Linked DNA regions of Caenorhabditis elegans. The protein of the gene in region 1 interacts with the protein of each later gene in a pairwise test. Each region holds a gene or a part of one and is shown in the gene's direction. Other genes may lie near its edges.

Region 1 (3,755 bases):
TTTTTGCCGTACTAGGTGGTGATGGTGACACGGGAATATGGAGAAAAAAGAGGCGTAGAAGAAGAAGAAGAAGCGGTGACGATAATAGGTACGTTGGTCTAAAGAAAAAGAGAGAAAGAGCTTGTTTGGGTGGTCTTCTTTTCTTTTTTTTCTGCTTCTACTCTCGCTCCCCCGTCCTTCTCTCACTCCACCACGAGCGCCTCTATTTTGACTGGCGCCGCGTCGGTCATCTGACTGCTTCTCTCTTTTTTTCATTCTTTTTCTCTTTTTCTCTCTATCCATCTTTTTTCGGCGCGCGCTTCTCCTGGCGCTTCTCGTGGGCTCTGGGAGTCAGGTCCCTTCTGCTTTTTGGCTCCGCTTCAACGGAGTCATTGAGCTCACGAAAAGGGCATTCCAAGTTGGTATTTTTTGGTTTAATATTTATATTTTCTAAAAATTTAATTATATTGTTATTCATATAGTTTTTTGTAAGCTTAAAAAATGATTGTTTTCGTTAGTATCTAACCACATTGTAATAATTGAATATTTAATTGTTTTTTCCGGTCAGGACTTTACATATTATTCATGTTAAGCTAACTTTACAGATAATCATAAGTTTATGAAATTAACAAGAAAAACCGCAAGTCTTGTACAATACTTTCGCAAGTTTAAGGGTCTGCAGACCGGCCTGGGCTTATGATTGCTCTTAGGATTAGGCTCAGGCTCAGGCTCAGGCTCAGGCTCAGGCTCAGGCTCAGGCTCATGATGAGGCCTAGGCTTAGGCTTAGTTCGTTTTTTTTCAGATTGTCTTGATTTCTTAAAATTCGCGTCATTAGACGAAATTCCCGCTAGGTATAGGCCGCCTCCGACTGCGTTTTTACTTTTTTGACCAATCTACCATCTAATTCTAGGGTTCTTTCATTATCTCTGTCACTTTTTCATTAAATTTGTATCTTTCAAAAGTGATGAATAACTGAGTTAAACCAACACAGCATGGCGCCAATAAATCGTCCGTCGCCGCGTCCTCCTCCCTCTCTCCTCCGCCGCGGCCGCTTCCCGACGCCATTCCGCATATATTTAGTGGATTCTACTGATGTGGAGCCAATGGAAACCGGGAGAGGGGAGAGGCTCCAAACCGGCGGACGGACCCCTGCTGCGACCAGCTGGCGCCTGGCGCGACCATTTTGTTCCCCCTCACTGCATCGTTTACTACTAGTGCAGTCTCTGTCAAAAGAGCACACTCTCTTCCATTTTTTATGTTTACAACAACTCGAAGAGGGCAATCTTAAACTATTCATTGGAATTTTGGAAAACATCGGAACATTATCTAAATATTTTTAAGAAGTCTACGAATTTTGAACTTTTTGAAAAAAAGCAATCTAGCAAAATATTTTCAACTAAATAACTTTTTATCATATGTTGAGGAGGTTTAGAAAGATTGAAAGCACTACAATTAGAGGTGAATTGGAATGTCCTTGTTTGCTCTCTGATTAAAAAAAATACAAGTTCTAGTAAAATAGTTTTGTAGATCCCAATCCAAACCAGAGAAAACTCATGATCTCACAATTTTGGAATAACCCTATCATATTTTTTCAATTCTCCGATGGTACCACTTCCTTTTCTTCTATTGCACCTAAATATTAATATTCCCTTTACTTTTGTTTTTTGTTCACCTTAATCGCAATTGTCACTTAATTCCTCTATTAGTACGCTTCTTGCATCTCTTGGATTTGTTATTCAAATGTTCTAAAACAATTGAGACATACCGTGTAGATAGTTTTGAATTCATCGTATTTTCCATTAATTTTCCTCTTTTCAGACCGCCTGTATGGTGGACACCATGATGAACACAAATACAGATGGTGTCACAGCGGTTCCTCCGATCTTTCCACTACCGTCGACGACACCAAACAGAAATAATAATAATGAACTGGCGATGTTGGCACAGAAGCAAATAGTCGCCGGATTACTGTTACAACAACCAACGATTGTGCAGGCAGCGGTGAATGGAACCAATTCGCAAAAACATTTGGCAGATATTGACTATACGAATGTTATTCAGGTGAGAGATGGGCTCTTTGTGGTTTTGACTCCTTGATTAATATATTGAGTTATAGATGTGAAATTGATTCTCTTGAAAGACTTTTTAGATATTCATGTTCGAGTAAGTCTATCTGTTATTTTTCAGACTCTTCAAGCCCTTGGCACTACAAATCTAAAAGCATTCTCTCTACTTCTTGATCCACAATCCCAAACATCTCAGTTAATATCTGAAGATACACGTCCATCTGCCAGCTCATCACCGTCTTCAACTGCAACTGCAGTATCTAACAGTGGACAATCAAACGCAACATCCACGTCATCATCGTCCACAGAACCCGAATATAAACCGAGAAATGTGCGAGAAAAAGTGTATGCAGATGGATATATCATGTCATTTGATAAGAAATCGTGTTGTGGAACTAAAGAATTTTGGAGATGTGAACGAAAGAATGATTGTAATGCAAGAATGCATTCAGATATCAATACACGAGAAATTGTGAGAAAGTTACATCCACATAATCATGAGAAACCGTCGCCCGAAGAACTTGCATTTTATGAGCAAGATTTCTCTACTCTCCATCCAAATTATTGTCATCCAGTGAAAAGTGTGAGTTTTTTTGAGCTAAAAGATTTATGGTGAATATTCAAAACTTGAAATATTCAAAATAGTTAGAAATAAAAAGTCGAGAAAGAACGAAAATGTATGTACGCCGAAACGTTATATGTATTTCGATTTTTACTAATCGCCCTGCTTGAACTTCCTCTAAAATGATAAATGTTAGACCAATCAGCGATTCGCTCCGCTCATTTTCCAACCAATCAGACGGAGTGGGCGGAGTTTAAAGACGCAGTGGGCGTGGATTTTCATCGCGGGGGGTTACAGGGAAACCAGCCAAAATAAAAAAGTTTTTTTTTAGTTTTCGGTAGATCCTGTAGGCAGGCAGGTAGGCACAACACTTATTGTTAATAAAACATTCGGATTATGTGTAACTGCTAATTTCATGTTTTTTGATTTAAGAATTCCAAAATTTCCCAATCTTTTTTAAATTGAAATCTTTTAGATCAACCGATCCTACATGCAACGAAAACTGAGCCGTGCCTCACATGTATCACAAGCTCTACCAATTGCTCCACAACAAATTAAAGCTGAACCAATGGAAGTTGACACGACAAATCAAACAATTCAAAACTTTCAACAAAACAATAATTTAATGCTTCTCGCCTCAATCAATGCAGCAGCAACTGCGGCTGCAGCTGCAACTTCTGCTGGAATAAGTCCGCCGGTTGTTGGACAGAAAAGAGTATCAACGACTGTGATGCCTATCACTTTGAAATCGGTTTGTTTTTCTTGAATAATTATGCTTTGTTCAAACATCATAAGGTTGGAACTTTTCAAAACTATAGGTTTGAGCCAGAAAAACGGAAATGAACTAAAAAAAATGATACGAATTTCTAAAATTCAGGGCCAAATTCGAAAATTTCGAACAACTTTGGAATTTCTTAATATTTTCAGCAACGCACAACTCCTAAAGAAGAAGAAGATTCATCTCAATTGATGTCACAAGAAGAATTCCGTATCACTTACGAATTGACCAAAAAGCTCATGGAAATGATGAAGCCAAAAACTGAAATTGGAGTTCGATGGCAAGGAGATGAAGGGTCAATTCTTTTGTTCTTATCACATGATAATGGAGCAGAAGAGAATGTCTTCTTTCCGGTGGTTGTCATGAATC
Region 2 (3,755 bases), on another chromosome or scaffold:
AACTCTAGGATTTTTTGTGAAAAAGAATTACACATCATTGCTCGTGGATAACATGGAAATCAAATATAGCAGCGTGGGACGTGATTGTGTCCTGAAGTATGGACAGAAGACAAAAACAATTATTGGTGCAAAATCTGTTGATGTGGCTTTCAATGACTTTGGAATTATCATGAAGAATCCGGCACTTCGCTTGGAAAAATTTCCGATTCAGCTTTCTGTTGATGTTGAGCAAACTGGGACTTATTTTTCAACTCTTCTTGATGTTTTGAAATCCTCCATGTCTTGCCTACACGTTAAAAAGTTTCATGGGACAGATTTCTCCGAGGAGCAGCTTCTATTAGTGATCCCTTTCCTAAAAGCTGGATATCTTGAAAAAATTGAGCTGCTTTCCAATGAGCCCACAGATCTCGAGAAAATCGCTAAACTTGAGCAATGGAAAAGAGCACAAGTTTTTGATTCGTTCTGGAAGAGTTATAAGGTTTCTGTCGAGGATATGCTCCATTTCAGAGAGTTCTATGTAATTGTACCTTGCTTTTCAAAAGAGGATGCAGTAAAACTGAGAGATGTAAGTTTAAATAAAAAATCGAAAAAAAATCCAAGTATTATTTTCAGTTGCTCACAAAATCAGTGGACTTCGAGAACGGGTGCTTCAAGTTCCCCGAAACCAACATTATCGAAATAGTGAGAGTTTTCATTCTGGACTACGAAGGAGAAGAACGGGCCAAAATTGATTATAACGAGAATGGCACAGATTTTATCTTGGACTTTAGCACAGAACACTTTCGATTGACAAAAAAGAAGATTGTGGACAGTGACTGAAATTAAATTTTAAAAAATATGATTTTTTTTAAAAGTTTTTGTATTGAATAAATTTGAGACAGACCGACGGCTCGAATTTCAGGTCAAAAGTAGAATTTTGCAGTTTGCATAATTTCAGTTTTTGATCACCCCATTCAGTAGGGAGCCATAAAAAATGGAATGATGATTAATATGCTCTTCTGAAAAATTAGACTTGTGTAAACACAGTGACGGATAACGACGTACGATTCGATAAAAAGGAATAGCTGCGGGAAATGGTGAGCACATGTGTAGGCTAGGAAGCAGTAGGCATTTTTTAGATGTGTTTGGTGCGGTTCAGTCAATTTTTTGCTGGGCTTTTGTGCTTCACATTGAGAGCGTTTTGATATTTTTGACTAGAAACTGAATGTGAGAAAATACTTGTTTCCGAGTATACTAGATGCTATACATAGGTTTTACAGTTTTATATCTTTATTGCATTTAACTGAAAATGACCAAAATCTGAAAAGTACGTAATTGGAAAATGTATGTCAAATTTCAGAATTTAATTAAATATACAACTGAATCGAAATCTGAATATTCTGAAATTTTCAATGAAGATCTCAGTTTTTTTTCCACCATCTTTTGCGCTAGGTTAGCTTAAAGACATTTTTCGTTTAAAATGAAAAAGTATTTAAATGAAAAATGACATATATTACGAAAATTTCCGCTTTCAGAAAATGTGATATCATATATTTCCAGCGGACAATTTCCGCATTTCTATGACTCAACAATTTATAGTCCAAATTTTATTTCAATTCGATCATTCCCTAGTGAATGTTTGCTTCTGATTGATTTCAACTTTAAATACACAAGTGATCTGAAGTATGGTATATCTGCAAAAAATTTTAGAGAGATTGCTGCTCAACTTTTGGCACCTTTTCTCTCGTTTCTCTAACTGTCACTTTATCCTTCTTGTACTAAGCCGGCTGCCTCCAACAGGTCAAGTGGGAGGAGTCGTGATTAGAAGTTGAGCAGTAACCAAATTATTTTTATGCTATTATTGTAGATACTGACAGGATATTCTCAACTTACTCAACGAGAGAATATTTAACAAAAAAAGATGAGCAGCCAAAATGCGAAGTCAATCGGTGGCATTTTGGAAACTTCAACAGGTATGCCCCAATTTATGGGATCGAAAAATTTTTTCATGCTTTAACTAGATAATTACTCAACTCACCGAAATGTATAAATGAAAGCATTTGGTAAAATATATCAGAAAATTTTTAGAAGTCGAAAACAAACTTGCAACGTTGTTTTCTAGATTTTGGAATTTTTTTGACATTTTCGAACAGATTGATAGCAATTTTTGTACTATACTTGTTGACATCTCAAAAATGTATTCTATGTTTCCATTATTTAGATCCCAGTTACGTTATAACCTGACAGAGGTTTGCGGGCGGTAAGTAGAAAAACCAGAAGCTTACAAAACTTGACCGCACTTATCAGCTTCTCAATTTACTTAGTTCAAAAGTTTTATGACAGAAGATTTACAATCTTTCACGCATATCTATAACTTTCAGTGCCTCTGGTCATCCAACCGCAGATTGTAAATGACCCCGCGCAAAACAACATAACTCTTCCAATCACGCTTTGTGCAGTTTGTGGGGACACTTCTAACGGAAATCATTACGGTTGGAAAGAAGATTTAGAAACTAGATAACAATGAATTTTAGGTGTGCCAACCTGTTTCGGATGCAGTGGGTTCTTCAGAAGAACCGTTAGAAACAAGTTGGTACATGGATGTTGGAATGGAGACGGAAACTGTGTGATTGATAAAGCGAACCGGAACAGGTGCAAGTCCTGTCGAATTAAAAAGTGCTTCAAGAAGGGGATGAATAAGAATGGTAAGCTGCTTCTCTGAGTTTGGGCTTCAGATCATTAACTTTGTGTTTGCACCATATAGTGCGGTAGGTATTTTTCAGTGGCCGACATTTTTTTGAGTTTCGCGCCGCACCATATTAACAAAGGCCTGAGGCCGGCAGAAGCCTCCTGAAGCCGGCGAAGGCGACACAGTTTCGTCTCTAAATAATTATTTTCCAGCTGTGCAACCCGAGAGAACTTCCCATAGCTACACTGTAGAGTATGTCGAGTTGCCCTCATTCCGAGAGTATTCCAAGGGACTTCTGCCTACTCACTCTGATCGTCTCAGATTCCAACACGAACATGCTCAACATGAAATTGTTAGTTAATCAGGAGACAAACTATCAACCTGAGACACCACAAATTTAATTTCAGGACACAAGCTCCGTGCTAGTTCATCTGAAAAACGCACTCCAGTGGGTGCAACAGTTTTCGCTCTTCGCAGTGCTTTCCGATGTTGAAAAGGTCTAAATGCCAAACATAAAAGTCATTAAAAAAATTTCCAGAGCCAGATCATACTGACCCAGTGGCCACATCTTTTGTGCCTCGCGTTGTTCGAAAACTCCGAAAAAATCTTCATCGATGAAAAATTTGCACAACTGGCTGAGAAATTCAAATCCCTCGAACTTTCGGCGCAGGATTATTTCCTCTTGAAGGGAATTATTATTTTCACGGAAAGTAAGTTTAACTAGAAAAGCTGCTGAGCTTTCAGAAACTAAAATTTCAGCCAAAGATGGCACTGATCTCAAATTCGATCGCCAACTTGATATCTGTATCGGCCTTCTCAATCAGTTGCACCTGGAGTCTTCAAAGTCCAAATCTGGAAGGCTTCTATTTCTCCTCGGCGAGCTTAAATCCTATTCTACTAGACAGCTTGAATCTCTCCTGGATCTTAAAGCTTGTGAGATTGTGATTAGTTTTCTTTAAATTTTGACTATTTTTCTGATGCTGTTATATGCACACATTACCCCCATTTTGCTCACTAGTAGTGCTCAGCTTAAGCTTAGACTTAGGCTTACGGTTAAGCTTAGGCTAAGGCTTAGGCCTTGGCATAG

What was found.
Region 2: the proteins of flh-2 (region 1) and nhr-111 interact in a two-hybrid assay, tested with the Caenorhabditis elegans proteins (one large-scale study listed by BioGRID).

The regions. Positions count from the first base shown.
Region 1 is NC_003281.10:4,950,326-4,954,080, forward strand, and holds the start of flh-2 (FLYWCH transcription factor 2), read left to right. Parts: upstream 1-1,798; 5' UTR 1,799-1,807; coding exon 1,808-2,041; intron 2,042-2,167; coding exon 2,168-2,629; intron 2,630-3,083; coding exon 3,084-3,359; intron 3,360-3,535; coding exon 3,536-3,755. UniProt on the Caenorhabditis elegans protein: Probable transcription factor. May bind to the promoters of target genes, including micro-RNA genes, in order to repress expression, and acting redundantly with flh-1 and flh-3.
Region 2 is NC_003283.11:16,122,927-16,126,681, reverse strand, and holds the start of nhr-111 (Nuclear hormone receptor family member nhr-111), read left to right. Parts: upstream 1-1,842; 5' UTR 1,843-1,900; coding exon 1,901-1,952; intron 1,953-2,360; coding exon 2,361-2,471; intron 2,472-2,513; coding exon 2,514-2,684; intron 2,685-2,880; coding exon 2,881-3,020; intron 3,021-3,075; coding exon 3,076-3,165; intron 3,166-3,206; coding exon 3,207-3,378; intron 3,379-3,427; coding exon 3,428-3,627; 3' UTR 3,628-3,755. Other genes in the region: fbxa-143 (F-box domain-containing protein), read left to right, coding at 1-565, 613-819. UniProt on the Caenorhabditis elegans protein: Orphan nuclear receptor.